Bombyx mori: one gene and its partners. The protein of the gene in region 1 interacts with the protein of each later gene in a pairwise test. Links are inferred from orthologs where the notes say so. Each region holds a gene or a part of one and is shown in the gene's direction. Other genes may lie near its edges.

Region 1 (8,588 bases):
GCTGGAATCTCATCTGCCTATCTACAATTATAAAAAGTTTAAATAATACTTTCTACATAAGAAATTTATAAACAAATACATTATAGTGCAAACTAACTTTTAAATAAAGTTTTGTTTTATATTATAATTATTATTACTTACTCTGTGAGGAGGTCTTCAGGAATATTCAGTTTGGAGTCACATATTGTGTTTGAAGTTTCAAGTGCCATGCTGAACTTTTCTGTAACAATATTTTAAAAAGATGTATTTCTTGTAGATTGTTTCTTGCAAAGCGGACCAACAACCTATTAAAGAGGATCTTTTGCATGGGGCCAAAGCAGCAGGTAATTGTGAGAAATCTTGACAGACATATAGGACCAGCTGTGAAGATATAAAGGCTGATGATATATACATATTACAGAATCTATGACAATGCTCATGACGAAAAATCCATATGAAGTGTCTCGTTGGTGCAGTAATAAGTGCTTCTGATTGCTGGGCTGATGGTTGTGAATTCAATTCTCACATCTAACAAACAGTCCTATAATTGACAGAATTGATTGCCCTTTGTCCGGTTGTTTAATATCTATATACATATGCATATTTTTAAATCGATACAAGTATATATCAGTCTCTGTCCCCCTAGTTGTTATTATTATTATTATCTGAAGTATGACTGAAAAAATTTAAAAGTATAAACTGATTTACTGTATTTTACCACTGTCAATCTGTAAAATCATTAAATTCCACAATGCCATCAACTTCATAGTATAATCCACAACAGTATCCAGTGCTTGTTGGTAGTATGATATAGCCTCCGCTTTATGTCCCAGGGTGGACAGGTTGCTAGCTAATTCCATCAGTAGTGATGTGCGAATGGGTGACTTTTCTGGATATTTGTTCAGTGCTTGTAGAAAACATCCTATACCAGCCTGGAAATTCAGAAGTGTAACAGCCTGGCCACGGGACATTCGCCGATACGAATATTCGCGCGGTGCGAACGGCGAAGCGTCTAGCGACTAAAATAAGAACATAGAAATGTACCTAACAAGCCACGCGCACCGGCGACCGGCGAAGCGACCGGTGGAATGTACCGAACGAATCGCGCGGGCGACTTACGATGTGGCGGGCGAGCAAAACAAATGCATGAATAAGGACGGCGCAAGCCACGGAGTCGAGCGGTAGTCGCGGCGAATAGTGCAGTGATTAAATGAGTTTAGTTGTTTTCGCCGCGAAAAATGAACGCCGAAATTTTTATATTTTATATTTTTTTTAAAAAAATTTTTATATTTTTAAACTCGTCGTGGCCGAACGGATAAGAGTCCGGTGTTGAGCGATGCACCGGTAGTCGAATATCAGGCGGGTACCAATTTTTGTAATGAAATACGTACTCAACAAATTTTAATGTTCACGATTGATTTCCACGGTGAAGGAATAACATCGTGTAATAAAAATGAAACCCTCTAAATTATAATTTGCGTAATTACTGGGGGTAGGAGTGGTAGGACCTCTTGTGAGTCCGCGCGGGTGGGTACCACCACCCTGCCTGTTTCTGCCGTGAAGTAGTAATGCGTTTCGGTTTGAAGGGTGGGGCAGCCGTTGTAACTATACTTGAGACCTTAGAACTTATATCTCAAGGTGGGTGGCGCATTTACGTTGTAGATGTCTATGGGCTTCAGTAACCACTTAACACAAGGTGGACTGTGTGCTCATCCACCCATCTAAGCAATAAAAAAATATATAGCTGAAATACTAGCTAGACCTGCTATTTGGAAGTCTAGCCACCCAAAGTGTTTCTCGTACTTCTTGTGGAATTCTCCATCTATAGGTATACTCTGATTCTTATTCAAATCATGTACTTTACAATCTTTTCCAAATAATAGGTCCTGAACCAAAAAACTATTAATTTGTAAGCAATATCGAGATAATTTCGATATAGACATTTCGCTATCGGACTTCCTTACTAGTCGCGGCAGCGAACGTGAGTACCCGTGGCCTGCAAACGGTGCTGCGCGAATGGTCGCCTCGTCCACCGCTTCGCTGTTCGCACCGTCGATCCCCGTGGCCAGGCCGTAAGAACACAAACACATTAATTTGATCAATTACTTTAAAAATCATGTTTAATATATTATACATATACCTAATGTTTTTTGTATGATTTAGGGTTTTGGCAGACCTCAGTCTCAAATGGTTAAGATTTGGCAGGATTGCTCTATACTACTTTTAATTATGCATGAAAAACCAGAACAAATAGTACTCATTCTTTGAGGGTTGCCTAGGCTTATTATCAATATAAAAGTATTACGTAGATACATCTTCCATTTCAAAAATCAATTTGTTTTTACATAAACTTGTAAATTATGGATAAGATAATCATCACACTCTGCTCTAACCAGAGAAGTGAGATTAATCAAAGGTTTACAATCAACAAATAATCTCTTTCACAACAGTATACTTCATGAACAATGCTGCTAATACTACAATTCATTGCTTAGCTAAAGATACCTATAATATGTATATGATATGCCACAATAGCTATTTATGAAAGGATTCAATTTTAAATCTTAGTTGAAAATGAAGAAAATGTATCTCGCACAGTATTGTTGGCTAAGCAAGAAAATGTTGCTTTAAGATATTTCAATCCAGCATCTTACTTCTAAATTCTCTCTTTCGGGACTGTAGAATTTCATTGACTTCAGTTTCATCTCAGCTTTAATGAATTGTCTGGCTGCAGAGATATAGTGCTCTGCTTCACCAAGGAAATTTCCCACCGAGGCCTCGCATTTCGCAGCGCCCACATAAGAATGCCCTGCAAACGTTGGCTGTTCAGAATGTTCACATTGTATCGCTAGTGCTATAAACTCATTTGTTGCTTCAGAAACATTTGGCTTCCGCATGAAACGCCTGAAAATTCAACGTAATTATATTTCATTTTTGCTTTAGATTGAACGCAAGTTGTAAATATTAGTCATAATATGTTAAAAAGTATGTTAAAAAAATATTTTCATTTTTAGTTTTTTAAAGCTATGAAATACATTATTTACAATAAGAAAAAATATATATTTACTTTTTCATTTTTGTATTGATGTTCATGTATTGTTCTGTGAAACTGGAGTTTAAATCAGTAGACATTGTCGATGTTGTACGTAATAATCAAAATAAATAATTAAAAAAACTGAGGGACTGTTTGTAAATTTGTAACGTTTAACTTTTTTCTGTTTTATTAGTCAATTAGGCAGACGAAGGGAATGTAGTCTATACAGGCATGCTTACTTTATCAAAGGTCAAAGAATGAAACAAAATATTAAATCAAATGGAATTGATGAAAATAAGTTAAGTAGGTAGTGCCTCTCAGGAAACTGGTTAAAATTAATTAAGAGTTCAATTAATGTTTTGGAAGAAGTCGAGAAGCCATGTCCAGCTATTAGTTTAGCTTTCATGATCATGAATATTTTAGTTAATACAATACCTATTCAAGCGTTACCCTTTTAGTTGGTACAATAATGAAATGTCGACGACCAACATTTTAGCCATCGTTTGAGGTTACGACCTCATGTTTCAGTGTGATTGATGACGTTCACGTCGTGATGTCTTTGGGGCCCGGCGAGTACCTAGGTATATACTTACGCAATACAAAACTTAGGAAATTTTGATAAAAATGAATATTTTGAATTTAGTAGGTTTTGAATTTGTCGTAGGAGAATTGTCTATAAGCATCTGGCAGCATTGCACCGGTCACCAACTGTCAAATTCGTTTGAAGGTTTGACGTGTCTTTTATTTATGGAAAGGACTTGAACATAATTTCACGAAAAATAACAAGTGATAAAACATGAGTTCTATTATAATTACTTTCTAGAGGTATAAAGTGTATAGCAACGCACGTAAAAAAAATGGATTTCCTCAAAAGCGGTATTAAGACTGTTCTGGGGTCTCCAGAGGTCGGCACTGCCGCACCGTCTCCAGCTGAAACGGTGATCATTTTATTAATAAGATTTCTAGAATAATAGTCTACTCTCGGGCTATTTATAGATACCAATCAAGTACTGTTCATGTAAACTAGACTTTTATAGCATCAAGCAATTTGAAAGATTTGAGATAAAATATAATTATTAAATTAATTTGTAAATTAATCAAAATCTTATCTCTCATGCACTCACAGACTAATACCACGCCTACGGAGCTACGTTTTGTACTGAACTGATGATCATTCCTTTAAGCCACCATAATTTCATATATTCAGCACTATTCACTATATCTTACTAGATGACATTCCAATCAAATAAATCTGAGGAGGCATTGTTTCCATGACTTGTGGGCAGGCCGTCAGCTATATGTTGTATATGAACACAAAGTATTTATATTCAGCAAATCAAGATCAGTTTTCGTTTTTAACTACCTCTGTAGATGTGTGATTACTACTATAGTTTACTTTATTTTTGGCTCAGAGAACAGTGCCCTTACATTTAGTAAAAACATCGGCTATCGTAATTAATAATGAGCATTTTTTATAATAAGCTTTCTTAATGAGCAGGTTGCAGAGAATTATCTGTCAATCTAAGAGCTACTAGATTTTGCAGAAAATAGTATTGAAATTGATTAAAAATAATAATATAGTGTCTTTGACAATAACCACATGAGGCTAAGCGGCCTGTCTGTGTACGTAGTGCAAAACAGAATAGTAAATGTGAGATTACACTGTAAAAGCTATTTTAATTAAACTGGCAGTAGGACCTCTTGTGAGCAATAAAAAGAGTATTTAAGCAATAAAAAATATATGTTTATGATTTGCAAAAACTGATGACAATACTATATCATGGTACAATTTTTAAAAATGTGATGTGACTTCAGACATTTTCAAGAGGCTGCAAGTTTGCAAATTTGGAATATATATAGCAATATGGAATAAAAACCACAATAAGAATATATTTTTTCTAGAAACCATAATACTTTTAATAGTAGTATACGGACCAAATGAAAAACTGTCTGGCTATTAACCAAAATATAAGACAGCAAAATAGCAAAGTCTCTGTAGGTAGATCAAGTCGTAAAGAATCTTGTTATTGAGGTTCATAACCTTAAAAAATATGCTAATTTTTAGTTTTACTAGTGCTTAGTAAGTATTACTGAATGTACTTATTTTTTTGCCTATAGCATTGTACTATAGCATAAAATATTTAAATATTTAACTAATAATGTTAACTTTAGGAGATTGTGTCTTGAAGCTAAGACTCCCACTCCATCAATTAAAATACAAAATTTGCAGGAAATGATAAGACATTATTTAACAATTGTAATTTTAATTTAACAAATTGTCTACTCATATGTTATTATAACTTGTCAAGCATAAAATTATTATAACTATTTATGCTGTTATCTTGACATGTATATGTACACATGTCAGTCTCTGCTACCCATAGCACAGGGAATCCTAATTTTAGGCAGAATGACCGCGCATGATTTGTTCACGGTTCCCAGTTAAGTAATTCATCAGTAAAGTTGAATTTTGGCAATTTGTATTTGTTTACATAATAATCTTTGGTTTGCTCTTTAAGGATTTACTATAATTTAAAATAGACTAATAGGTTAAGAAACGCAATAATGAAATACACGGCATTGGTGGGACAGGTCGAGCGACTAGTGGAGCGCGTTACGAATTCTACACTGCTTCAAGACCGCAGAGACAGCTGCCGTGCGCTCAAAGCACTCTCGCAGAACTACCGCATTGAAGTCGGTGCCCAGGCCATGGATGCTCTCCGTCAGGTTAGTACTGGTGTGTGGGTCATAAATCTCATTCTTGATTATTATTTAATAGCTACTTAAATTTCCCAGGTACTAGAATTAGACAGAGCAGACAATGAGACGATACACTACGCACTTGACACCCTTAAAAATATTATGTCTCCAACTCTTTTCAAAGTTGAAGAGGACAACCACCAAGTTCCTTGTAACATCGGGGAACAGTTCACTGAAATGTTCATTAAAGATCCACAGAATGTGCAGCTTGTGTTAGATCTTCTTGACGAATACGACTTTCGCGTGCGACTCTCAGCCGTACAGCTACTTACTTTCATGCTCACGAACAGGACCCGTGACATCCAAGAGATCATTCTAGTCAAACCAATGGGAGTATCCAAGATGATAGACCTCCTCGGAGACACCCGGGAAGTCGTAAGAAACGAAACATTGTTGCTTTTAATAAAACTGACAAAGGGCAATGCCAACATACAGAAAATAGTAGCGTTCGAGAATACATTCGACCGATTGTTTGAGATAATTGCGAGCGAAGGACACGCCGAGGGCGGTATCATCGTAGAAGACTGTCTGTTACTGATGTTGAATCTGCTGAAGAACAACAGCAGCAATGTGAACTTCTTCAAAGAGGGTAGCTACGTGCAGCGTCTGCTACCACTGCTGGCGACGCGCGACGACGAGGCCGAGGAGGCCGGGTGGGCGGCGCAGCGCGTGGCCAACGTGCAGGTCACGCTGCTGGTGGTGCGCGCTCTGGTGGGCGGGCAGGGCGCGGGCGCGGGCGGCTGTCGACGCGCGGTGCGGGCGGGCGGCGTGCTGGCGGCGCTGTGCGGCGTGCTCATGTCGAGCGGAGTGCCGGCCGCCGTGCTTGCCGACACCATCCTGGCGGTGGCCGACGCGGTGCGCGCCGAGCCCGAGTCGCAGGACTACCTCGCGCAGGTCACCGCGCCCTCCGACCCGCCTCGACCCACTCTTCTCGTCCTGCTCATGTGTATGCTCAACGAGAAACAGCCATTCCAACTTAGGTAAAGTTTTATAAACAATACACTTATCTTCAGTCAGACACTTGTTAGAGTGGTCGTGGTTGCGCTGACGATGTATATGCAGAAGCATCCATTAGGTCGCCCATGCTCTCGAGGACCGCCGTCCAAGCAATGCAGTTATAAACATTAATCAATAAATAAACAAACTTCTTCATGTGCTCAGGTAAAGTTGTTCCCAGTGAAAATGGTGCTAAAGCTTATGAACTCGCACACACGTTATCTACGCATATTTCTTTATGTGTAAATTTTATATGTATGTACGCTAAAATACGTCAGATGAAGCATTTCAAATATATAAAAAAATGGAGCCTAATAGTAATAATATTTGACGGGCAGATGTGCGGTGCTGTACTGTTTCGAGTGCTTCCTGTACCGGAACGAGAGCCAGCAGGCGGCGCTGGTGTCGACGCTGCTGCCGACGGCGGGCGAGGCGGCGCGGCTCACGGCCGGGCAGCTGCTGTGCGGCGGGCTGTTCTCGCGCGACGCCGCCGCCAACTGGTTCGCGGCCGTGGCGCTGTCCCACGCGCTGCGGGACAACCCCGAGCAGAAGCGGCGGCTGCTGCGCGTGGTGGTGGCGGCGGCGGGCGGCGGCGCCCCCGAGTCGCTGGTGTCGCAGTGCGGGCGCCTGCTGCAGCGCGCGGCGGACGCGCGGGCGCAGGTGGCGCTGCTCATGCTGCTGTCGCACTGGGCGGCGGGCTGCCCGGCCGCGGCCGCCGCGCTGCTGGGGGGCGGGGGCGCCGTGGGCTGGGCGGTGTCGCAGGCCGCCGACACGGACGACCCGCTGCTCTCGGGGCTAGCTGCCTTCCTGCTGGCGCTGCTCTACCACTACAATGATGACTCCGTACCCGAATACACCAAGGTCTCTTTTTTTCATTTACAGATTTAAAACTTGCCATGCATGCCTTGCATGACTGTTTACCTGTGTGTAACAATGGTGTTCAATCCGAACCCAGCGCCCTCGTGGCAGCCTAGGCACTGTCAAATCGCGACCCGTGTTGCCGGGGTAAAAACTCAAATAGATTCAGATAGATTGGTTTTGAACAAGTAGGTTGAAACTTGGGATCGTTAATCAGGATGCGCGACTTGCCGTGCCTTTCTTTTTTTATTCCTACCTAAGCTGATAGCCTTGAGAGGCTATTTCAGCGTAACCTTAACCAGTAGGTGAGCTTACGGGGCTCAAACCTGACGACGTTGCTAACACGAACCCTAGCAAGAGCCGTGCTTCGCAGAATCTACCACCGGATCGGAAAGCGACCCACCGAGAAGATCCGGCGAGAAACTCAGTGGGATGTGTCCTGTGTACTCCTTAGTCATTCCATTTAGCCTTTCGTCGCCAGCGACGGATTCGACGAGAGCGATGACCGGTGCTTGAGCCGTGTCTGTAGTACAAGTGTGACGTGCGCGGTTGCAGGAGGCGCTGAAGCAGGTGATCGTGAAGCGCATCGGTCTGGAGGCGTTCGTGTCGCGGCTGTCGAGCGTGTCGCGGCTGGAGCCCTACAGCGCCGCCTCCAAGCAGCCGCAGCCCGTCGTGGCGCAGCCGCACCTGCTCTCGCTCGACTACGAGTTCTGCAACTTGTACCGGGAACACGAGAGTCAGTATCCGCACTAACATCCTACTACATTTGTATTGGTGGTAGGACCTCGTGTGAGTCCGCGCGGGTAGGTACCACCACCCTACCTATCTCTGCCGTGAAGCAGTAATGTGTTTCAGTTTGAAGGATGAGGCATCCGTTGTAACTATACTGAGACCTTAGAACTTATATCTCAAGGTGGATGGCGCATTTTCATTGTACATGTCTATGGGCTCCAGTAACCAC
Region 2 (8,437 bases), on another chromosome or scaffold:
TACATACCATGTATTTGACGCACACACGCATGCATAATATTTATTGTCAAACTTTTGTTCTTGACGTCTGTTGTCAAATTGAGATTAAATATTGTTTGTCTTTGTTAATATTTTTATAGTGTAGTCTTGGCGAAATTTGTGATTATAGAAGTATAAAATACAATCATAATAGTGTACAAGCTTACAATTCCAATTAATTATAGTCGAATTTCGACTACTGCGGGACCTCTAGTTGTATCGAAATCGCTCTCATAGTGCTACAGCTGAGTGGCAATATGACTTGAGATTGTAGGTTCGAGACAGATTGAGAAGATGATATTTTCAAGTGTACAGAAGAAGTAGATAACAACAATCGCTGGATGATTACGTTCATTGCTCTTCTTCTTCTTTTTTAAGTATGGCAGTTGGCTTTTTGCGATTGTTGCCAGTGCCGAATTTATAAAAATCTTCATAAAATAAATACCATAATTAAGCTATTTATAAATGATTTATAGCGAAATGATTTAAAGTTAAAGTCGTCGTGGCCTAAAGGATAAGACGTCCGATGCATTCGTATGTAGCGATGCACCGAAGTTCGAATCCCGCAGGCGGGTACCAATTTTTCTAATTCTAATGATTGACTTCCACGGTGAAGGAATAACATCGTGTAATAAAAATCAAACCTACAAAATTATAATTTGCGTTATTACTGTTGGTAGGACCTCTTGTGAGTCCGGACGGGTAGGTACCACCACCCTGCCTATTTCTGCCGTGAAGCAGTAACACGTTTCGGTTTGAAGGGTGAAGCAGCCGTTGTAATTACTTAGTCTGGCCATAAATACTGTTACAATTAAAATAAACAAAATATTACATTTGAATTTGGAATCTGTAATTTTTATATGATTGCTCATTGAGTTTTTTCATTTTGGCGCCAATACATTGTACAATATTTTACGATATTAAAATGGAGTGGGGTGATAAAGAGAACCGAATCGCTGTGATTGTATTTCACAAAGTAGGTATGGAGCCAAATGCAATTTTTAAAACTCTCCATACGCTTGATATTAGTAAAATGTTTGTGTACCGGGCTATTAATAGGTGCAATGAGACCTCCTCTGTTTGTGACAGAAAAAGATCTGGCCGTCCATGTAGTGTTCGTACGAAAAAGGTGGGCAAAGCAGTAAGTGAAAAAATTCGAAGAAATCCTGTCCGAAAGCAAAAGATTTTATCTCGGGAGATGAAGATAGCACCTAGAACCATGTCGCGTATTTTAAAAGATGACTTAGGACTTGCAGCCTATAAGAGACGTACTGGTCATTTCTTAACTGATAATTTAAAAGAGAATAGGGTGGTAAAATCGAAATAACTACTGAAGCGGTACGCAAAGGGAGGTCATACAAAAATTTTGATTATGGATGAGAAATTTTTTACAATTGAGCAACATTTTAACAAACAAAATGACCGTATTTATGCTCAAAGCTCTAAGGAAGCTTCCCAATTAGTCGACAGAGTGCAACGTGGGCACTATCCGACTTCAGTGATGGTTTGGTGGGGTATTAGCTATGAAGGAGTGATTGGGCCATACTTTTGCGAAAAAGGTATCAAAACATCGGCACAAGTGTATTAAGATACCATTCTTGAGAAGGTAGTGAAGCCCCTTAACAACACCATGTTCAATAATCAAGAATGTTCCTTCCAGCAAGACTCGGCGCCAGATCATAAAGCTCGGTCCACGCAGTTTTGGTTGGAAACGAACGTTTCGGACTTTATCAGAGCTGAAGACTGGCCGTCGTCTAGTCCCGATCTTAATCCGCTGGATTATGATTTATTGTCAGTTTTAGAGAGAACGGCTTGCTCTAAACGCCTTGATAATTTGGAGTTCCTAAAACAATCCGTACGATTGGCAGTTAAAAATTTTCCCATGGAAAGAGAGCGTGCATCTATTGATAACTGGCCTCAACGTTTAAAGGACTGTTTTGCAGCCAATGGAGACCACTTCGAATAAGCTTTTTATACTTTAAATTGTTTTATATTTATGTATTAAACTAACACACTGTAAAAGTAATAAATGTTATTTGCCATAGATTTTTTTTTTGTTTTCCTTTGTAACAGTATTTATGGCCAGACTAAGTATACTGAGACCTTAGAACTTATATCTCAAGGTGGGTAGCGCATTTACGTTGTAGATGTCTATGGGTTCCAGTAATCACTTAACACCAGGTGGACTGTGAGCTCGTCCACCTATCTAAGCAATAAAAATAAATAAAAGAGTTAATTCATTTGAGACCGCAAGAAATTGTCATGAAATTAAATAAAACAAGATGAGATTTCCATCTTATGTCAAATGAAACGAAATGAGATGGGATGGAATAAAGGCTCAGTACAATGGTGGTTATTTACTGAAACTTGAATGTAATATTTGGAGAAGACCGAGACGCTGCGTCCAATGCCTGTGTTAAATTTTCCCAATAATTTAGATGTCACCATGTATTAGAAAAATTTATAGGTCACCATCATCAAACTTTAAACATAAAAAAAAACGTGTGGCACTCGGGAACTGCCGCGGTAAAGCTATTGCATAGCATTTTTTATCAACTTATGCAATTACAATTAGACAATAATAATTTAATATTAAAACAATAATAAAAATAAGACCACACTATATTAAACATTAATAAAGGCAAAACCTTAACTGTCCCCTTCACACTCAGAAGCTAGACCGCGCGAGAGAGAGATGGGCAGACTTTTCATGATGCGAATGCAGTGTGACGTCACGCCACGCGCTTATTCACAAATACTACACAAGCGCAACGTGTGAATGTGTTGAACGCGAGCTACATGGTAGGCGGAGTGAGGGGTGTTAGATTTTTTTCGTTACGGAATTTCATGATTCGGTCGCCGCGCTCAAGGCCCGCGATAAAAGCTATGCAATAGCTTAAAAACGCTAAATTAACAAAACAAAACAATAACACAATTTCACTCTTCAGGTTCCTGCCAAAAGGTCCTTTCATGCTCACTCGTAGCTTACTGCAGTAGTCTTAACTAAATACACTTAGTGTGACGTATATGCTGCACTCTTCAATTTAAAAAAAAAACAAGTTTTTCGATAATTACTGAACGAGTCCTTAGGTTTTATTATTTAATAACATTTTTAGGGATAATTTAAACATTACTTTTATTTAAAATACCGCACCCTGGTACAATTTTAGAAAACTAAAAATGTCACACCAATAGCTTTGCAACGTAGAAGTTTATATAAAATCCAATAGATGTCGCTAAATTAAAAATCTCTGTTCGTCTTTGAATCATGCACTGAATTAGTGCTACCAGCCTTTGAAATTTCTCTGTCATTTAAAATTTATCGCCATCACAACAACAACAAAAAAGATCATTAGAAATAATAATCACGTTGATATGTTTTTTGTTTGTAATAAAATTTGATATCATCCGTTATCGGTTAACGACCCACTTGTGGAAAGTGGTTACTATCACTCAGAAAAACACAGCTAAACTCTTGCCTTTCACTATTAATATTTGAAACTATGTAAACAAGATCTTTTTATACTTTAAAATCAAATCAAACTTTTGACAAGACTTTTATCATTTAGAAAATAAACAAAAAGGTATGGTTTAAATAAATCATAAAATAAATCTAGTTGAAGTCGTTTATTTTTTTATTTCAATTATTACATATTTTATGATGACCTAAATTAATTTGTTTTGTATCAAATCAAACTTTGCTTTGTAAAACAATAACAATTTGGAAATATTACCTAAATAGGCAATTGTCGTGCATAATAATATTCAGTTAGTTTTTTTTTTCAATATGATCAAAAAACTATCACTGTAATGTACAGAAAATTTGACTTGAATACATAAGCTAGTTGACTAGTTCACACAATAGTGCATACAAATTTTGTAATTTACATGTTTAGTTTCGGAAAATTTTATTAAATGGGCAACCCCGTCCATTCCTGGCTGGGCAAAAACGCGACAGTCCGGTAATGGCTGCCGATGAGGCGGTGTGTTTATGTCGGTGTTCGAAAGCGTGTAGATTGTTTATTTACATGTTCATTCTAACTGATACCAATAGTGTTTTGTGTTGACAGTGTCTTCTTCTTGTAACGAACCACACTAACGTGTATTCAAGTGCATTGTTAAGTTAATGATCAAAAATGACCGGTGGATTGCTCACGTAGAGCGTAAACCGAGAATGCATTTTTAGTGTCGTGGAGTGTTTGTACGTACACATTTATCTGGATAAATGTTCGGCTACAGGGGTAATATGTGCAGCCGGCAGCATTCTCAGGCTTGCCTGAATACATCTTTGTCGATACGACAAGAGATACAGCGGTTTGAAAGTGTACATCCATCGATATACGCGCTTTACGATCTGGTCGAGTTGGTGCCTGATCCACTGCTCGCTCAGCAGATAAGAGATCACGTCGTTGCCATTGAAGGTACGTAGTGTAAATTATGCTTTTTGTTTAGTTGAAAAGAACATCATCGGTTTCTAGGGAGACGATATTGTTGTTTATTTAGATAAGGCATGCTGGATAACCTATATTGTTAGAACAAGTTGTAGAAATTGCAGACGGCCACTAGCATGTTACAAACTGTTGACAAGTTATCAATGATAACAAACTAATGTTGTGTTAACAATTATTAACATTAATAAAACTGTAGGTCGTTAAAAAGTCAACTGTTAGTACGCCAAATCGAATACGGATCTGTTTGTGATGATGCTATTTAAATTTTCGATTTAAGAATATTGTGCACTTAAATAATAAACAAAAATATTAAATTTTAAAGTTAAAAATAAAAATTATTTTAAATGACAATATTAAATTACTCGTACAATCAATTTCAATCGCTTATAATATTTTTTTACTTAATTATCACCATTATATTTTACGAAATGTTTGTAAAATTTAATTGTATATGAAACCTAGATTTGCAAAACAGTTTAATCCATTTATTTTTCGAAAGGTTAGGGTCATTTAAATTATTAATATCAAAGATTTTGAGTGGACACTAGGATGGTTGATAGTCGCGTGAAATTATAAACCGCTTTATGATTTCGCAGTGACCGTTTGCCATCACGAAGCCAAAATGAACACGATCAATACTAGAGATTACATTTTAAAATTGAAATCTGACACGTTGACGTAATGCGGTTATAAATTATTTTGTGCAATAAATTCTAGGTCACAGAATTTTGAATTTCGGTAATGACTGGGATACTGTAACTAGCTGGGATATGTTTTGAAGTCGTGGTGGTCTAAGGATAAGACGCTCGGTTCATTCGTGTTGAGCGATGCAACTGGGTCGGTGTTCATATCCAGGTATAATTTTTTTAAATGGTATTTAACTGACTTTCACTAATGACTTCCACCATTAAGGATTAATATGGTGCAATAAAAAAAACCGTAAACGTGATATTTGCGTAGTTACTGGTGGTAAGGACGTCTTGTAAGTCCGCACGGGTAGGTACCACCACCCTGCCTATTTCTGCTGGAAGCAGTAATGCGTTTCGGTTTGAAGGTTTGGGGGGCAGCCGTTGTATCTATACTGAGACCTTAAAATTCATGTCTCAAGACGGGTGGCGGCTTTTACGTTATTGATGCTTTTGCGCTTCGGTAATCATTTGACACCAAGTGGGTCATCGAGGTAAGCAATAAAAAAAGTTGTCAGCTCGTCCTACTATTTTTGGCGCCAACTAATCGTGCTTACCAATTCTAAGGGCGGCCATTAGCCAGACATTTCGAACTCGTGTATCACGGTGCTCTCCGACAACCTTCTACTTCAATAAGAAAGTCGCATAGATGCAAACCTTATTTATCTACTCCGTGGATGCAAATAACCTTAAAACTAATCGGCTATATACAGAAAGAAGTATGATGCTATTTGGCGTCGTCGGAATCGGGTATAAAATATAAAAAAATGTACAGAAAATATTTTACTCTCCTCTCTTGTAAAGAAATAATTAAATCATTTCCTTTTCAACCTAATACGTTTTGTTTCATTCAGGAAATTTAATTTGTTTTCGTAGATCGAAGAATACCAGAGTTTGGAAGTGGGAAGCATATTTCTGGAATTTTACCATAAACACAGTGTTATAAATAAGAAAAAATATTAAGGCATATCTTGTTTACTTCGAAGGATATGCCAAAGAATTTACATACCTCTGAGTTCACAAGATTTGATCATATTTGTAACCACGACAGTCATTATGCCGTCACTTTGACCAGTCTCGAAATCTTGTGTCTGAATATTGAATGAGCCAATCGAAAGCGCTTCTCAAAGTATATTTACCAGAAGCTTTACCCGAATCATTACAATTCACGCAAAATTCTAATGAAACTAGCTATTAAAAAGTTAAGATTCATTTGCTTTTTTATTTCTCCTCGACCCTGCTTATGAAATAACGGATTTAAATATTTTTTCAGGCGTAAACGGACTCATTAGTTCCCTGAACCCAAAGATATGACAATGTCAATGTCTTGTCGAAGTGTTGAGTACCACTTTGCGTCACCATCGATAAGTCTCAATGGGCATTGATTTAATAATATACATTTTTTAATTTACACAATTTTTTTTTAAATAATAAATTGGAAATATTACCATCATCAGTGGCATTAAAAAATGGAGCCTTTCACGCGAGGAGTGAAGTTGTGTGATTTGTTTTATTTTGTCTATTTAGTGTTTCTTCGGGTTTAAATGTGTAATAACGGTGGTTTATTAACTGTTTAATATCTATGAAAGTGCACAAATGTGGGAAAATGAAACAAAGCCGCTGGACGTAACTTCTTGGGATCCTCCAAAAAGTCCACTGAAAAAATCTTAGTAAATGACCACCGTTTTACTAAGATTATAATTTCATTCCATATCATCTCATTTCATTTAATTTCATCCCAGTTGATTAACGTCTCAAATTAATCATTTTCATTTCATTTCACTCCATTTATAATTTTTCATAAAAATAAGAATATAAATTAAAATAAGACATGACTTAAAGGTCTTAGTTACCAGGTCATAAAATCACTTAAAAAAAATAACTTTACATTCGAGTACACAGAATATATGAAAATGTAGACTAAATTATCTGTTTGAATGAAGCCATTTGAGGACACACAGGTAAAACAGATTAAAATTATTAGTATTTAAAGATTGTTCTTCGTGAATACCTAATTCGTTTTCAGTAATCAGCTAGCCTCTTCCTCGTAATGGTTTTTCAATCAAAAATTCCAAAACAAAATGGTAAATGCCAATTACAAAACACAACGGTAGTTCTCTCACCTTTGAAACCGGAACGCATTGATGCTTCGCCGCGGAAATAGGGTGGGTGGATGTACCTATCTACCTACCCGTGCAGACTCAGATAGCCCTAATACGAGTAATTACGAAAATTGTTTTTTCTAGAAGTCGTTCGTGAACATGGGCTACAATAGGTATTCCATTAGAAATAAATAATAGTTTAAAAAAACTAAAAAAATACGCTTTTATAGAAAATCCCACTAAAAAATAGAAAATAAATCTTAATAAATTTGAATTAAAAATAGTGTAAGAAAACATGATTTTATTGTAAAAAAATAATACGCGTGGGGTGCATCGTATCAGTACTTAGTTATAAATATTCTATGAACAGATATGAGTAGAAGGGTTATTTTGATAATATCCTGAAAAGCACCCCACGCTTTTTTACAATAAAATCATTTTTTCTTACACTATTTTTACACGTCTGAAGCTAATAAAAGCGTATTAAAAACAGTATAGACTTATGGATTTCATTAGAGTAGGTACTAACTCACGACACTTCCTCGACGCCTTCAGCTCTAACACTAGGAGCAGACTTAGGGACCCCGGTAACCCTAAAAAAGTTAGACGTGCAACTTATCCTAAACATCAGCCCGATGAGTTTCTGGCTAGATCTTCTAAGCGGGTCGCGATTCCGATGCGGTAGCAGATTAATTCGCGAAGCAACTGTCCTTGAGTTATTAGGTCTCCTTTGGAGGTGTTGGCTGTTAGCAAATCGCCTCCTGACTGAGCCTTTGCTCACTCACTTGTCCTGATGAAACTGGAAATGCCTCTGGGCCACCAGTAATCCCTCATTCATAAAAAAATAAACAACATGCCATCTGTTTAAGCCAACTAATTGAAATCGACACAATAATATACAGATTACTTATAAGAATTTACAACCGGCGTAATAACAACGCCTGACCATAAACAAATCTATTGATAGAATAGCTGGATGGTTATAGAATAAGAATGATCTTTCCTATACGACCTATATTAGAGGTAAGTACCATGGATCTACAAATTTCAGCCGCGAACTATCCCTTAATTCTGATAGAAAGGGTATAATAGCCGTTATTTCAAAAATAAGGACCTATCTTACTTTTGAAGATGCGGGTAAACTTCTTCCATAATAAAGTGATTGGCACATCTATTGTTG
Region 3 (8,439 bases), on another chromosome or scaffold:
TTTACCGATGCCTGGCAGGTTTGTGATAGTGGGGGCTGGGGCGAATGCGACGCGAGGAATGGGATGAGGAGCCCTCAATGTACGTGGTGGATTGACTTCGGCCATTAGCGTTGCCGCTGTGGCTTCGGCCTCCACGTGCATGGTAGTATGTGGGGGTCGGGGCGGAGGAAGGGAAAACTTTCCCTTCTCCTTAGAGGTTGTTGGGAGTGCGGAAGTGGGAATAGAAGTAGGAGCTGGGGTGTTCCTTGGTTGGAGAACCAGTGGTATCGGAGGGGGAACGGTTAACCCCATCGACTTGACATTCCTACGGTAGATCGCGCACCGTCGGTCGACGGCTGCGTGGTCCTTGCCGCAGTTGGCACACGTAAATGGGCCGTCACTCGGCCTCGGGCAGTTCACTACCACGTGCTCTCCGGCACATCGTATACAGCGGACCGCACGGTGGCAGTTGGTGGAGGCATGACCAAAGGCCTAGCAGCGGTGACACTGCGCAGGCCCTCTTTCAACAAACAAAGAACAATTTGGAAATTACTGATATTATTAACTTAACATCAGCTCTTTCACGAACAAACAAGACAAACAAACAACAATAAGATACATCGGTCACTAAAGATATAAATAAATATGACGGCGTTAACGATATTTCTGTTAAGCACGTGCAATAGGAGTGACTCACACAAGCCAGGTGCGCCGGCCGTGTCGTTCGACTCGTAAACAACAGGTGCAACAGAAGTGACTCATAAATAAGCCAGCTGCGCCGGCCAGTATAAAAAGGCGGTACGTGCCTCGCAATGGACATTCGTTGGACTGCGTTTGCCCGGTGCACTTACTATATCCTTGTTACGTTGTGTGATACAGTGACTGTTGTACGTACTGGTTAAGGTTGGACAAGTGTTAAAGTGAATTGTTAAGATAACATATTGTTGATTAAATCAGGAATCAAAAAGTGACTTCGTTCTACTTGGTGTTCAACAAGATAATGTCTACCCTCAAGCTTATAAATACAATCAATAACTAACGGGTGTCTCAGAATGTTTTTCGTTTTTAGATGTTAAATAAAAAACAATAATATTTATTAAAACTCGTTTTATTTATTGTTAAATTAAAGAACAGTTCTTGAAATTTACTTATGAAAAAAAAAAAAATACAACCGTATGAAAAACCACAAATGCGCACCATTTACTTGTTCGCACTCATTTAACCTGGAGCTAAAATTTACAATCGCTCGTTGGAGCATCGCTCTTGGAATAAGAGTTGATTTCTTCCGTGATTCTTTGCTTCAAAACATTCAGGTTTGGTGGCAATAGATTGTAAACTTTACTTTTTAGGTAGCCCCATAGGAAAAAATCAGCAGGCGTTAAATCAGGGCTCCTCGGTGGCCAGTTGATGTCTCCTCGGCGACTTATCACTATTTTTTTTATTGCTTAGATAGGTGGACGAGCTCACAGCCCACCTGGTGTTCAGTGGTTACAGGAGCCCATGGACATCTACAACGTAAATGCGCCACCCACCTTGAGATATAAGTTCTAAGATGCCAAGTATAGTTACAACGGCTGCCCACCCTTCAAACCGAAACGCATTACTGCTTCACGGTAGAAATAGGAAGGGCGGTGGTACTCTTCCAGGGAATAATCTTGAAGAGCAGCTAATGAGTCATTTGTAATATGAGAATTGGCTCCATCTTGCTGGAAAAAGGTGTTGCGGTTGTAGCCATAATGGTTTTGCATTTCTGTAGCCAAAAAAGTCCGGATCATAATATGTCAGTAACGAGTAATCAATTCAAAAACGAAAAACATTCTGAAACACCCTTTACTAAGTATAAAACGTAAAGTTAAGCTTACAATCTATGGGCTGTCGTCAGTCGGATTACGTAGCTAAATTAAAATGAAACTAGAGGTCCCGCAGTAGTCGAAATTTGACTATAATTAATTGGAATTGTAAGTTTGTACACTATTATGATTGTATTTTATACTTCTATAATCACAAATTTCGCCAAGACTACACTATAAAAAACATTAACAAAGACAAACAATATTAATTTAATCTCAAATTGACAACAGACGTCAAGAACAAAAGTTTGACAATAAATAGTATGCATGCGTGTGTGCGTCAAATACACGGTATGTAGTGGGTGTAATGTTTTCTTTATTGATTTAATGTATCTTTTATGCATTATTTCAAAAAAATATTAGCATTGTGCACTTCTTCTCTATATTCTCTATAAGTGTGGCAAAATTCCATACTCCTCCGTCCGCGCAATTTTCGTAAAAAGGGATACGAAGTTTTTGCTTCGCGTATTTAATATATAGATGTATTGAAATTTAAAAATATTAAAGTAAAAGAGGGTAGATATGGCGGAATTCTGTAATTTGGAAGAAGGAATGTGTTTTATTTCGATTTAAAATAAAACAACGATTCCTATTGGCTATAGATGTGACAAAACAGGTGATGCGATAAGGGATTGTTGTAAAGCTAGGAGCAGACTAATAATTTAAAGTGAATTAATTTTAATTGAAATTTTTATTATTATAATTTATCAGAACTAGGTTAAATTGAGACTACGGGGGTGGTAACTAAACTAACTAAAAACTATTATCTACACTAATCTAAACTAGCTAACTAAGGCACCTACACCCATGTACTCTAGCCTATACCGATCGGACTGCCAGTTCGGGCTTAGAATTCAGCCCCTCCTAACCCCGAAGGGTAGGGGAGGACTGGGAACGGACGCTGGTGGCCAGACTCAGTGACGCTAACGTAACTCAATTTTACTGGTGGTAGGACTTCTTGTGAGTTTACTGGTGGTAGGACCTCTTGTGAGTCCGCGCGGGTGCCACTACCCTGCCTATTTCTGCCGTGCAGCAGTGATGCGTTTCGGTTTGAAGGGCGGGGCAGCCGTTGTAACTATTCTTGAGACCTTAGAACTTATATCTCAAGGTGGGTTGCGCATTTACGTTGTGGATGTCTATGAGCTCCAGTAACCACTTAAGACCAGGTGGGCTGTGAGATCGTCCACCCATCTAAGCAATAAATAAAAAAAATCTCAGAATAAAGTGAGCACGCAGCTTTACAGGTATGAACGGCACCTACCCGCAATTAACAAATGTTAGGATTTGAGAGTGTCGATCTACTCACACGTTCCCGGGTCCCTCGTCTGTGCTGCTGGGAACGTTACCGTGACGGCAGATAGAAACACACTCGCGTAGGATCACTGACCGCACAGCACCCAACACAGCAAGGATATCCTCGACGCACCGGTGTCCCGGGCAAGTCTGTTTGGAAGATTGTATAGCCGTATTATAATACAATTGAGACTTGGAATTCATATCTGAAGGTTAGTGACGGCTTTGCATTATGTCTATGGCTTAGGAAATTACTCTAGCGAGTAAATCGTAATATAGTTCAATATTTTATTTACATGTTTGCTTATTCCCTTTGTGGGCAGACGATCGAGTATTCGGCCCATTTGATGGTGAATGATTACTGTCACTTGTGGATGTCAATAATGACAAACTCTGTTTGAAGATGGTCGTGTCATAGCATTCAGGACACACCGTGCATGGGAGTTGATCCCAAAGCTGGATGGTGCTTCGCAAAAAATATCTGGTATAGCACTACGTATGAACGCGGCGTTTCCAGATAGTAAGGATGAACTCTGCTCCGATCTCAGGAGGTGCATGAAGGGATCAACACGAACAATTTCTCAGAGCCCTCCCATTTACTCATGCACCTCTAGTTCACGTATCAAAATAAAATGGTGTTTTACCATCAATGTTTGACGTAAGAATTAAACAGGGAATTAGGTGAGAAACATTTCGCACTGAACATTGAAACCGTAAACATTATTTACTAAAAATCGTCGAAGCATTAAAAAAAACCTAATTAAGACCTCCGGAGCGAAAACGAAAATTAACTCTCAAAGGGAATTAAATAAATCTTTTGGACCCTAAAAATTAATTCAGACACGAAGCATGCGCCCTTTTCAACGTGTGACCTATTTTCGGGAGTTCTCATACTTATAAAGGCATACTGATTTTTGAGGGCGAAGGTTGAATTAGATTTTCGTGTTAGCTTTTTGTGAATTTTAATTTACGTCTGCGTGAAAGCGACAATCAAATTTTTTAATTGTAACTAGCTGACCTGGCAGACTTCGTAGTGCCTCAATCGATAAATAAAAGACCTAAACTATTGTATAAATTAAACTTAAAACTAACAAAAGAATCCGTCCGACGGGGGACATCAAAGGGGAAACAAAATTGTTATTTTAATTTAATTCCGAGCATTTTCATATTTATCTACCTTTTAAACATTCTCTGGACTTCCACAAATAATTCAAGATCAAAATTAGCCAAATCGGTCCATCCGTTTTCGAGTTTTAGCGAGACTAACGAGCAGCAATTCATTTTTATATATAGAGACTAGCTGACCCGGCAAACATTGTTTTGCCATATATAAGATTTCTAGGGAATTTCTAGTGTAGAAAAAAAAACTAACTTATTGTAAGTGTGTAAGGATGTGGTAAATGAGTGAAAGAGGTATGTAGTGCTGTGAACGAAGAGGGAATATATAATAAAAATAAGAAAACCTCATTCAATCACATAATACCTCATTATAACAAAAAAAAGTCCAAATAAAAAAAAAATGTTAGGGGTGGACAACCCTAATCACTTAAGGGTATGAAAAATAGATAGTAGCCGATTCTCAGGCTTACTGAATATGCATAAAAAATTTCATGAGAATCGGTCAAGCGGTTTCGGAGGAGTATGGGAACGAACATTGTGACACGAGAATTTTATATATTAGATGTTAATTTTCACGCCCCTTTCTCGTTATTTTTTTTCATTTAACAAACAGATGAGTTTCTCTTTCACTGGGCTCAAAATAGTGACCGGATACCTTAACTTCCAAAACGAATTAACTCGCTTTAGAAAGACTAAGAAGAAGACGAAAGACTTAAGACGAATAATTTACCGTCCTGTCTATTTCTGGGTAGGTACCACGGCCCTCTCTTTTTCTGCCGTGAAGCAGTAATGCGTTTCGGTCTGAAGGGTAGGGCAGCCGTTGTAACTATACTGAGATCTTAAAACTTATATCTCAAGGTGGTTGACGCATTTACGTTGTAGATGTCTATGGGCTCCAGTAACCACTTAACACCAGGTGGGCTGTGAGCTCGTCCACCCATCTAAGGAATAAAATAAAATAAAAAAAGACTATCTTTTTCGTTACCTCACTAATGAGGATCGTGATCATATACATATAATTTGTATCCATTCACTTCTGACCCGCGCGAGTTCAATAGATCGCTAAAGAACCTCTCCCGTTGTATCTACAATATTATTACACCATCGCGTGAAGTCAAATTCACCGAATTCTTATCGGCTTATACCCTTTCGAATCTACGTAATATAACTTTTAAAACATATCAAACGATATAATGTAGGGTCAAATACTACAAAAGTTATCTTGTCGGATGCGAAACGCCATCCATCACGGCGCTGCGAAGTAGCTACGAAGTTAATCTCTATTCAGTCTAGCATTCATAACTCATTGATAAGCTCCCAGTTAGAAGCTTTTTGCAGATTTGTGGGTAGGATAAGCTTTCAACTTAAAAGTTTCGCTTGTATTTTAGTTAATTCGTTTATTCATTTGTCTTATATTTAAATTGAACGTATTTTAGTTTGGTTATTTCGAATAAGAACTAGTACCAAGAATATTGTTAGAAACATCCTAAAATTCAAAATAAAACACAAAATATCTCATTTAACCCTACTATTAAGGCAAACCTTTGCATTTAATACCAGTATTATGCCTAACGCTGCCGCAAACCACTCTGGGCTCAGGCTTCCAAAACACATGCCGATTTCATTTATTACTTCTTGCAAAAAGGTTATACTACATAATATATATATTCGTAGTGACACTGCCACACATAACATATGAATCAATAAAAAAAATCTATGCGTATGACGTATTTTCGCTTGAGAAATATTCAGTCGATTTGTCTGATTTTTTGTTTGTCGTGCCGTTATTTTTATTTTTTCATTATTTGGAAATTCTATAAAAATATTTCTTGCAATTATTACTAGTCATAGTTAAAGCCAAGCCTGATTGGGCTTCACTAGTAATCTTCACTTAATTTGGTAAATGCTTAGAAGTTGAAATTGATTATTTTGATTCTTCATGGCCCAATATTTTTTTTAAATACGTGCTTGTATGTTTGCTTCTTTGTGTTGAAGATGACCGTCTCTTGAAACTCTTTGTCATAGTACCATCAAGTGGGTGGTAGGTGGCGAGAGAAAATCTTTAAGAATGATCTAAGAATCGCTTAAGAATGGAATATTTCATACATTTATGTGCTTAAGTTCAACAACGGTCTGCGTTTTTTAAAACAAAAAAACAAAACAAACAAAAAATTGTTTTAAACTAAAATGTGTAAAAAAAAAAAAATCTTAAAACTTTTCATGAAAAAATTATACGAAACGAGGTACTTAGCATTGATGTAAACGAAGTCCAAATTCAAAGTTCCAGCGAAAATTTTGAATATTCAAATTGTTTGTGATTAATTTAAAATAATTTACAGCAATCGCTAAATTTGCTCCAAAAATATTATAGAAATTCGCAATTTATTTAACGTTCTGAATTCAAATAAATAAATATGCATTTATTTTGTGTGACTGAGAAGACTTAGTTTGGCGAACTTTTGTAAGTTCAGCGGTATATTCCGATAATGTAAAACAGTCGTAACCCACCCTTCAAATTACTTTAATTTACTAGTGGTGGTAGGACCTCTTGTGAGTCCGCGCGGGTAGGTACCACCACCCCGCCTATTTCTGCCGTGAAGCAGTAATGCGTTTCGGTTTGAAGGGTAGGGCAGCCGTTGTAACTATACTGAGACCTTAGAACTCATATCTCAAGGTAAGTGGCGGCATTTACGTTGTAGATATCTACGGGCTCCAGTAACCACTTAACATCGGGTGGGCCGTGAGCTCGTCCACATGAAATAAAAAAAGTTGTGGAAAGCACAACAATTAATTTCTAGTTCAGTTAATTTATATTTCGAAGGCAAGTGAGCATACGGCCCGCCATCAAAAATACCAAGGGCGCAGTTAAGTCGCCGCCTGCAACTTTGGACTCTTCAAAGTTCGTTCAAAGATGTCAGATACGGCGATCAGGTATTACCCTCTATGGATATAACAGCAAATAAGCTTTAATACTAAATGACAATTTTTAGCCGATACGATTGGTTGGATTGTGTGATCACTGAATCACGGTGAACCGAATAACTCCTCAAATGTCAAATAGTTCAGTCTGTGATCGGCATCAAACTCTTCCTTGTCTCGACGAGCTTATTCCAATGCGGATAAGGTTCACAATCGTTCATTCGTAAAAATACAGACGCATCGCCCTTAACATGAGGTGGCTGGAAATAGACGCGAAAACGTGTTGTTATTAATGTTGCGTGTAACTGAATGATTTGAATTTTTGCGTGGCTAAAATTAGTTAAGTGACGTCACATAAGTAGTTATATTCCATAGTACTGGCTAATAACTTACAGCAGTGGTTTCCGCTGCTTACGCTGTCAAGAGTCCGTGGTCAACATGAAGTCGATCATTTTACTGTTTAACTGCCCAACCCTTTAAACGCCACATCAAGAAAGGTGCTTCTTAAATAGTCTATAGGTACATAGAACATTCTTGTTATTTACAAAAACTTTCTTAATATTTCTAAAGCAGGCAGCGGCTTGGCTCTGCCCCTGGCCTTGCTGAAGTCCATGGGCGACGGTAACCACTCACCATCAGGTGGGTCGTAAGCTCGACTGACTACAAGGGCAATAAAAAAATATATATCTCAAATGTTGAATGTATGAAAATTTTAATTTCATCTTCGAACAACTTTCTACGTAATGTCACGTAACAACCAACATTTCTCGAACACGTCACGCGATTTTGAACTCTATTGTCATTAGATTATTAACACCTTTGCAAATTATCATAAAAAAACAGGATTCAATGACAGCGGACGTATAAAAGCACTTCTGATATCTAAATGCGCTCTTCGTGTGAGTGAGTTCTCCTCGTCTTTTTTTAGATTTCAGCTAACGTATAACACAGTCAGTCAGTACCGCATTAGTTTCGTTGTGCTAGGCGAGCGCACAAACGTAAGTTTGAAAACTGTAACAGATACTAGTTTTAAGCCAACGATTAAATTTTGAGGCAATTATGAAATTTTGTGACGAAAGTATCAAAAAAAAAAAAAACGAAAAAAAAACGGCTCGTAATGGATGGTGCATTTCAAAATTCGAATTTAGAAATAGACTTCACTAAAGTTACGTGAATTTAAATGTTAACTAAAAACAGTTTAAATTCGAGATTCTTAATGGAATTAAACAGTTATGATAAATTATTTTTTTTTTAAATAATACTTGAAACGGTACGGGTG
Region 4 (8,557 bases), on another chromosome or scaffold:
TGAGTCCTCACGGGTAGGTACCACTGCTCCGCCTATTTCTGCCGTGAAGCAATAATGCGTTTCGGTTTGAAGGGTGGAGCAGCCGTTGTAACTATACTGAGACCTTAGAACTTATATCTCTAGGTGTGTGGCGCATTTACGTTGTAGATGTCTATGGGTTCCAGTAACCGCTTAACACCAGATGGGCTGTGAGCTCGTTCACACATCTAGGCAATAAAAAAAAAAAGAAATTATATTAATCTAATCTCGACAAATGTTATAAACGATTAGCTGTACCCGTCTGCTTTGCTGGGAATTTAAAATTAACATTGTTATTTGTCATTATTATTAGAGAGTCCAACATTCATATAAATATCAGCCTATCCATTAATTGCATATATTTTCTACATGGATACCAAGTTTCAAGTCAATCGGATGCATGGATCAGTAGTTATAACGGAACAACCGTAAAAACCACTGTAGATTTATATATTAGTATAGACTAGATGATGACCGGTTTTTTTTTTATAACGCCATCTTGATTAGTTACCCTGAATTAAGAAAAATAGTATTATTATTCGCCAATAGATGTCGGGAAGAGTTTATTATTGAAAACACGAATAAAACAACATTTTCTGAAAATAAATCGTAGCTAGATCGATTTATCGCCCCCGAAATCCCCTGTATACTAAATTTTATAAAAATCGTTGGAGCCGTTTCCGAGATTTAGATTATATATACACAAGAATTGCTCGTAAAGGTATAAGATAAGATTAAATTTTACATATTTCAAAAAAATATATTAAAATTGATGTTTTTTTTAATATCTCTTTTTCAGAGATCCGAATCCCCGGGATAACAATCCTGAGTTATCAGGTCTGTCTTGGCCGGCTATGAAGCCCAACGACAGGAAATACCTTCGCATCGACAAGACTTTCTCGGTCCATGAAAACCTCTTCGAAGATAGGTTCAAGATCTGGGAAGAGCTGTACCCGATAACCAATTGATTTCAAATAGTGACGGATTTCCATAAATTTACAGGAATGAATTGGAAACTACTCAAATGGAGAACTTAAAATATAAAGTATAATAATAATAAAGTATTACATTTTTTTACTAATTTGATGCATTTTATTTCCTTGATAGTTGAAGTATCGTTTCAATTTATTAGAAACTAATCGAAAATAAACCTTACAAATGTAGAAATTATACTTCCGAGTAGTTATTTGCTACTCGGAAGTAGAATAATAAAGCAAAATTATTTTTGTCTTCCCTAAGTGATAGATTATTTTTGTTATGATTAAATAGAGGTTAAGTAATATTTAGTAAATTTAGCACATACGTACATAATAGCGACTTGCGTTGCCTTTTTACCATTTTTGTAGTAAAATTTTTAAATGTATCGAATTTCTTCATTAGATTCACCTTTTTTTTTTTTGCCTTTGTAGGCAGACGGGCATACGGCCCACCTGATGGTGAGTGGTTACCGTCGCCCATGGACTTCAGCAATGCCAGGGGCAGAGCCAAGCCGCTGCCTACCGCTTAATACTCTCCACAAGCCTCGTTTGAAGAAGGACATGTCATAGCGCTCGGGAAACACCGTGGAGGGGAGCTCATTCCATAGCCGGATGGTACGTGGCAAAAAAGATCTCTGGAAACGCACTGTGGATGACCGCAGTGGCTCCAGGTAGTATGGATGAACTCTACTCCGGTGGCGGGCGGTGCGATGGTAAAAACGAGATGCCGGTATCATCTCGAACAATTCCTCAGAGCACTCCCCATGGAACATACGGTACAGAATACAGAGGGAACCGAAGTCCCTCCGCAGACCCAGAGGCAAAAATAATAAAAATCACATATTTTCCTAGTTTGAATTAGGAATTATCTTCTTTAAAATTGAAACTTTTAATGATATCAAAACCAGCCAGATACAAATAGCCAAAGAGATTTTATTACAAGTTCATACATACTATAATGCGAAAAGACTTTTTCCCCAACCTATTATTTTTATTTGCTTTATATAAACAGCTACATAACATTATATTTTTAAACAATGAAGTATTATTATCTCCTCTGTCTACAGGCTGTTTCTTTTCTCTTTTTGGTTAAGAAAAATTATAAGATTTTGATTTTTTTAACACAAAACAGTTAATTGATATTTTTAGTATTGTTCGTTGATCTATTTTCTTTTTTTTTTCAGTAGATATTTACGAGCAATTTATACTCTTTAAATTTGGAAATATATGTTCTTTTTTGTTCCAAAGACACCTAGACACTGGGAGATAGTAGAAAACGCAGAATAGACCCACTTGAAATGTGATTCTGGAGAAAAACTCCGGATATCGTGGACTGATTTCGCAACAACGAGTCTATTCTTGAGGAATGAAAATAATGAAACGCCTCTCCTGCACGTTGCAGGCTCTTATCTGGCCTCTTTTTCTGGATATGTGTCACGGATCTTTCTATCGAGCTCGTGATGGTGCGGGGCAGGGTTAAGAGTGTTAAGCCGCACGATAGATCTCGCGTAAGGAGGACTGGCCAGGTCAAGGCTGCAACCTCTCTTGCATTGCCCTCTACGCGTAAGATTTAGACGCACAGCTATAATGGAGATTTTTTATTGCCTTTTTTGATAGGTTGACGACGAGCTCACAGCCCACCTGGTGTTAAGTAGTTACTGGAGCCCAAAGACTTTTACAACGTAAATGCGCCAACCACATTGAGATGTAAGTTCTAAGGTCTCAGTATAGTTACAACGGCTGCCCTACCCTTCAAACCGAAACGCATTACTGCTTCACGGCAGAAATAGGCAGGGCGGTGGTATCTATCCGTGCGGATTCACTAGAGGTCTTACAATCAGTAATTACACAAATTTTAATTATGCTGGTTTGATTTTTATTTCACGATGTTATTCCTTCACCCTGGAAGTCAATCGTGAACATTTGTGAAGTACGTATTTCATTAGAAAAATTGGTACCCGTCTGCGGGATTCGAACACCGGTGCATCGCTAGATACGAATGCACCGGACGTATTGTCCTTTAGGCCACGACGACTACAAAGTGGACGAGTGGCGGGATATTGTTCAGCTTACTATCAACTACTACCTATCAACACCACTTAACCACTTAAGATTGGATGGATTAGTTGATTTGCCCATCTAAAAAAATCGATCTTAATTATAAAAAACTCTAAATCTGTAATGAGTTTCATCGACGTCACCCTTACCGACGCTACCAGGGTTGCCCCGAAGAAAAAAATACAGAAAAGTAAGGTGTATATTACCTAATTTATAATATCGGCTTGCTAAATAATAATAATAATAAAACTAAAACAAAACTATAATTGCAACAACAAGGCTTAGATCTCTATTTTTAATACAAGCTTAAATACAAAATTATGTCGAATGTTTAATTAAAATTATTATAATAAGTACCAAGTCAAAATAATTCATCAAACATATCAACATTATTAAAGTGACAGGGAAAATAATTTTCATACGCAAATAACGCGTCTCGACGCTGTCGTCAGCCACTTCTAAGATAAAGACATAGACATAAATTAAACACATCATTAACATAACCAACCCCTTATTTCGCGAAATAATTTTATTATAATAGATAATTTAAAACTGGCCGTTTCCCCCACCGCCGTGGGGTTAAATGAGGAATGGGCGGAGCGTGAATTAAGACTATACAATAAAAAGCTAGGCGTCTCTGTCGCACAAATGAGCAGTCCTAAATTCAGTAAGCGGCTTACAATGGGTGTCGACACTTTATGGCATCTCTTTCTCGCCAGGGTGAGCGTGAATAGAGTCGTCTCGATGGCCCTTCATAGTTATAAGGTATACCGTAGCAGCGGAGGTCCACGTGAGATTCTATTTTGTAATCAGTGAAGTGGCGCCTTTATACCGGACTGGAGGCACGATGTTCGCGCGTTTGACAGTTTGACGTTTTGTTCGGCGGGAAAATCGTTTTACGAGTTTTCACGGGCACAAGAACTATTTATCGTAAAGCCTTAATAATTTGCTTAATTCGTTATTAGTTTAGTAAAGTGATGTTCATGCCGACCAGTTGAAGAAGACTTTAGTTATTGCTGTTGCAATAACTCGGATTTTTTGTCTAGGTAGAAGTTAAGGTATGTGTTCAAATATATTTAAAATATCAAATATCTTGAAGCTTACAAAGTTGGTACTGAGATTTCTTATAAAATTAAGCAACATATATTGACATAAAGAATTTTACATTATCAAAATTAAGAAATAATCACATCGGAAATCTTCAGACCCGATAAACCGCATATCAACTTTAATAGTAATCTATTTTATTTTAGTATGAGTAACATATATGAAATTTAATAAAACACTATTTACCAAAATTGTAGATTTTCAAGCTTTATTATTAACCAATTGTATATTCAATTATAACCCCCCATGAAAACTAGTGGTCTCTGAAAGAAATAAAATCATAAATAGTATTATGGCATTTTGTTAGTAGATCCATTGTTGAAGATTACAATTTTTAATTACAAAACAAGAACATTTAACTGTTAGGGCTTCAAATAAAATACCAAATTAATTTAAACCAAAAAGTGTACTATACGAGAATCTCCGTAGATTCCGTAATTCGTTTTGTGTGATTTATTTTATTACATTTATATTGATTTACTTTATATTCCATTATTCACGGGAGGGTCAAGATGAACAGGGTTGTGAGTGGGAATTAAACTAGTTTTATTGCTATATCAATAATAATAATATTTAAAAGAAATTCGGATACAATTAGTAGTTAGAAAACTAAGCCGAATAAATATTAGTACTTAGGATGCTTAATGTCTTTTAATTTTGTTTTTAGTTTTCTAAAAGTCGTGACATAAAGAGTAGTTATAAATGATTGATAGTCATTGAATTTATCAACATCAACCACGCTGTCTAAGTTCTCAGTTCGGGTAACAGCTTATGAGATGGGCTCTAAGGTTGTCTGTCTGTCCGAATAACTAAGTTAAAACTGCTCACTTATTCGACTGCAAGTAAGGAAACGATTTACGCGAAAACGCTTTTGGGTATTACCTTCATTTACGAATTTTTTCTCGACAAAACTATAAATTATCCATTAAAAATACAACCGTAACTAGGTTATTTCGAAAAACCTTCAAAATCCGTCCAATTCAAGGGCGTGATTTCAACGCTCATAATGACGAAGACGGCCTATCTGAGCTTAGTATTTTACAGCAAAGTGCCAAACAGTGCTATAAAAATCTCGCTTCGAATAACAAGAAATTCTGATTCGGTGGTAGATTCCGAGAATCACTGATCTTGTTAAGGCTAGTGTGAACAAACTCTCTCAGTTTTAGCCCGTGAGCTCACCTAGATGTTCAAACGTAGCTGGAATAACCTCTTAAGCTATCAGCGTGTAAGGGGCTATTCTATAGGCTACATGGGTAAAAATAAAAAAAATAACAAAGCTAGATACACACACTTGAATACATATATACATAATCAAAACGGTATTGTATACTTACTATATATAAATTTTTTTTTAATTAAAATATTTTATAGGCGTAAATTTATCGTCCCTTAAACCAAATACTTACCGATAATGTACTTCTCTTTGATGTTTTTTTTCTAGTGGAACTTTTATATTGTTTATTTGTAGTCGTCCGTTTCACAGACTTTAATTTTCCTATAGTTGATTCCAAAGTCGTAATATTGTATTTAACATCAAAATGTTTCGCTGTAGTAACTTCAAGCATAACTGTATTATTAAACACCGTTGTTAAATTGATGTTATTTGTGCTAATATTTTCTTTTTCTGGTGTCGAATTTACAGAATGCTCCGCAATTTTGGAAACGGTTGTGAAATCGAAGCCTTTGATATCAGTAGAAGCAGTAGTAGAAGCAGCTGATCGCGCTTTCGAAATTTCTTCATCATTTGTTATAGTCTCAACAGCTTCATAAATTTTTGTTTTCCCAGTTGACTCCGAGGTGATAGTTGACGGTTTTGTTGGAGCTTGCGTAATGATTTCGGCTTCTTGACGTACCACATTCATACTGATAGCGGTTGCTGCGTCAACATTTTTTATAACTATCGTATTCTTACGTAATATTTCTTTAGTATTATCTGCTTGTGTTCCCTTTTTTGTTACTTCTGATTTTACTTCACTTCTCTTGATTAGTTTAATGTGTTTGGTATCATTAATAGCCGTTATTTTAGTTTCCAGACTTTTCAATCTATAAACATTGGGCTTACTGGTACTTTGCATAGGTGAATGTCGCAAAGCTCTGTCTGTGAGTAATTTCTTAAATTCGTCAATACCCATAAAGGTGTGTGGTATATTCGTTTCGACCGGATTATCTATGTATATTAGGGGTTTATTTTCAGCTTCACGCGATATATGAAGATTGTGCTTTTTGAAACCATTAACCTCTTTCAATTTTTTCACGTGTACTTTGTATACTTTATTGTTCTTGTACAGGCGTCGAGATGCGTCATTGTCACTTTCTTTAACTGGTAAACAAAGAGTTACTATAACAGTTTTTTGTCGATCGCTTCTGTGATGTTGTTCTATTGAATTTCTTAATCGCATGAACTTTCGACACCGCGCTTATAACAATAAGATCTTTTAATTTTATTAATATCTTGCCTTGACTTGGCTTTTTATCGTTTATGAGTAGCAGTAATCACCGGTACATCATAGGAATGTCGAGCGTCTTACTTCGTCATCATCATCGGCCTATATCAATCCAGTGCTGGACATAGACTTCTCCAATTGCTCGCCACTGAGCATGATCCTTGGTTTCTCTCATCCAGCTCTTTCCACCCTGCACAGATTATCACTCCACCGTGCCTAAGGGCGTCCTGTACTGCGTTTGCCAATTCGCGGTCTCCACTTACTTACTATCAGCCCAAAGAGATCCCCTGCTGGACATAGGCCTCCCCCAAACCTCGCTACATTTGCAATTAAATATGACACGCGTATTGTGCAATCAATCTGCACTATTATAGCGTATATTTTATGTTTATCATTGACATGATTTTCATGGGTTGGTGTTTGTTAAAAAAAAAACTGTAGTACTGTTCGATTCTGGGACAAACATTCAATTGCGAGCCAAAATTATTAGGTTTTTTTTTATATTAATTTAATATTAAAACCAGGTCAGCAGTTTGACAAAAACTTCCGTTTATACATACCAATGTTCAAAGCGTTTACATACTCATTATATAAATCCGATATTAAATCATCTGTGAAATGAATACTGAAGGCATATTCACTGATTATTATTATTAAAAGGAAAACACAACACAATCGAAAACTATACAATTTTAGTAGCATTTTCATAATACGCCAATGGTACGATTTTATTTCGGTTGAGCGCAAGAATGATTTTAATTTTCATTTGTGTAAACATCGTAAAATTCAAGCGTGATGGCGTTTTTTTTTTCTGTTGCCTCAATTTTACTGGTGGTAGGACCTCTTGTGAGTCCGCACGGGTAGGTACCACCGCCCCGCCTATTTCTGCCGTGAAGCAGTAATGCGTTTCGGTTTGAAGGGTGGGGCAGCCGTTGTGACTATACTGAGACCTTAGAACTATATCTCAAGGTGTGTGGCGCATTTACGTTGTAGATGTCTATGGGCTCCAGTAACCACTTAACACCAGGTGGGCTGTGAGCTCGTCCACATATCTAAGCATTAAAAAAAAAATAAAAAAAATCGGTGATCGATTTCACGGCTCACCTGGTGTTAAATGGTTACCGGAGCGCATAGACAGTACTACGTGAATGCCGCTACTCATTTTGAAACATGAGATCTTATAACGGTATAATTGTCCGTATGCTTCAAGCCGGAATGCATTACAGCTCCGCGGCAGAAAAGACAGTGTAGCCAGGAGGGCTCAAAAGACGCTTCACCACCGGGAAATGCGTGTTTTTGATTTGCATTTGAAGACTGGAAAATTTGACGTAACTTTAATATTGTCATCTATATATTAATACGTGAAGGAAAAACGTTGTATCCCTTTTTACGAAAATTGCGCGGACGGAGGAGTATGAAATATCCCACACGTATAGAGAATATAGAGAAGGAGTGCAGAATGTTAATTTTTTTTTAAAATTATGCCTAAAAAGTACATTAAATCAATAAAAAAAAACATTACTCACACTACCATGTATTTGACGCACACGCGTGTGTGCATGCGTATGCATACTATTTATTTTTTTGCCTTGACGAAAACTGTGATTATAGAAGTTTAATAGTCTTTGCAAATAGAATCATAATAGTGTACAAACTTATAATTTTAATTAATTATAGTCCAATTTCGACTACCGGGCGACCACTGGTTTATTTAATAGTCTGCAGTCTGTTGTTCTGACAGCCCTAAATTACACAAAAAAAAAGAATAATGCACTCAATGCACTCGAATCTTTGATCAGTTACGATTCTCGGTCGCTATCTCCGGTCCTCGGCAATCGAACTAAATATAATGAAAGTTTAATTTTAATATTAATATTAAGCATTTATAACGTTTATAAAGCTTATTTGAAATCGGTTCTGTACTTATTAGCGATGCTCGAAAGAACAAAAAAT

What was found.
Region 2: the proteins of general vesicular transport factor p115 (region 1) and centaurin-gamma-1A interact in a two-hybrid assay, tested with the Caenorhabditis elegans proteins (2 studies listed by BioGRID). The link is inferred for Bombyx mori from reciprocal best matches to the Caenorhabditis elegans genes uso-1 and cnt-2.
Region 3: the proteins of general vesicular transport factor p115 (region 1) and RING finger protein nhl-1 interact in a two-hybrid assay, tested with the Caenorhabditis elegans proteins (2 studies listed by BioGRID). The link is inferred for Bombyx mori from reciprocal best matches to the Caenorhabditis elegans genes uso-1 and nhl-1.
Region 4: the proteins of general vesicular transport factor p115 (region 1) and paired box protein Pax-6 interact in a two-hybrid assay, tested with the Caenorhabditis elegans proteins (2 studies listed by BioGRID). The link is inferred for Bombyx mori from reciprocal best matches to the Caenorhabditis elegans genes uso-1 and vab-3.

What each region holds. Positions count from the first base shown.
Region 1 is NC_085109.1:1,632,184-1,640,771, forward strand, and holds the start of general vesicular transport factor p115, read left to right. Parts: upstream 1-3,711; 5' UTR 3,712-3,870; coding exon 3,871-3,951; intron 3,952-5,605; coding exon 5,606-5,740; intron 5,741-5,809; coding exon 5,810-6,753; intron 6,754-7,107; coding exon 7,108-7,630; intron 7,631-8,182; coding exon 8,183-8,363; intron 8,364-8,588. Other genes in the region: uncharacterized protein LOC101741560, read right to left, coding at 142-220, 698-911, 2,634-2,883, 3,047-3,111.
Region 2 is NC_085115.1:14,999,317-15,007,753, reverse strand, and holds the start of centaurin-gamma-1A, read left to right. Parts: upstream 1-3,963; 5' UTR 3,964-4,243; coding exon 4,244-4,439; intron 4,440-8,437.
Region 3 is NC_085114.1:2,556,137-2,564,575, forward strand, and holds the start of RING finger protein nhl-1, read left to right. Parts: upstream 1-3,105; 5' UTR 3,106-3,334; intron 3,335-8,015; exon of another isoform or gene 8,016-8,158; intron 8,159-8,439.
Region 4 is NC_085120.1:4,526,990-4,535,546, forward strand, and holds the start of paired box protein Pax-6, read left to right. Parts: upstream 1-3,720; 5' UTR 3,721-4,111; intron 4,112-8,557.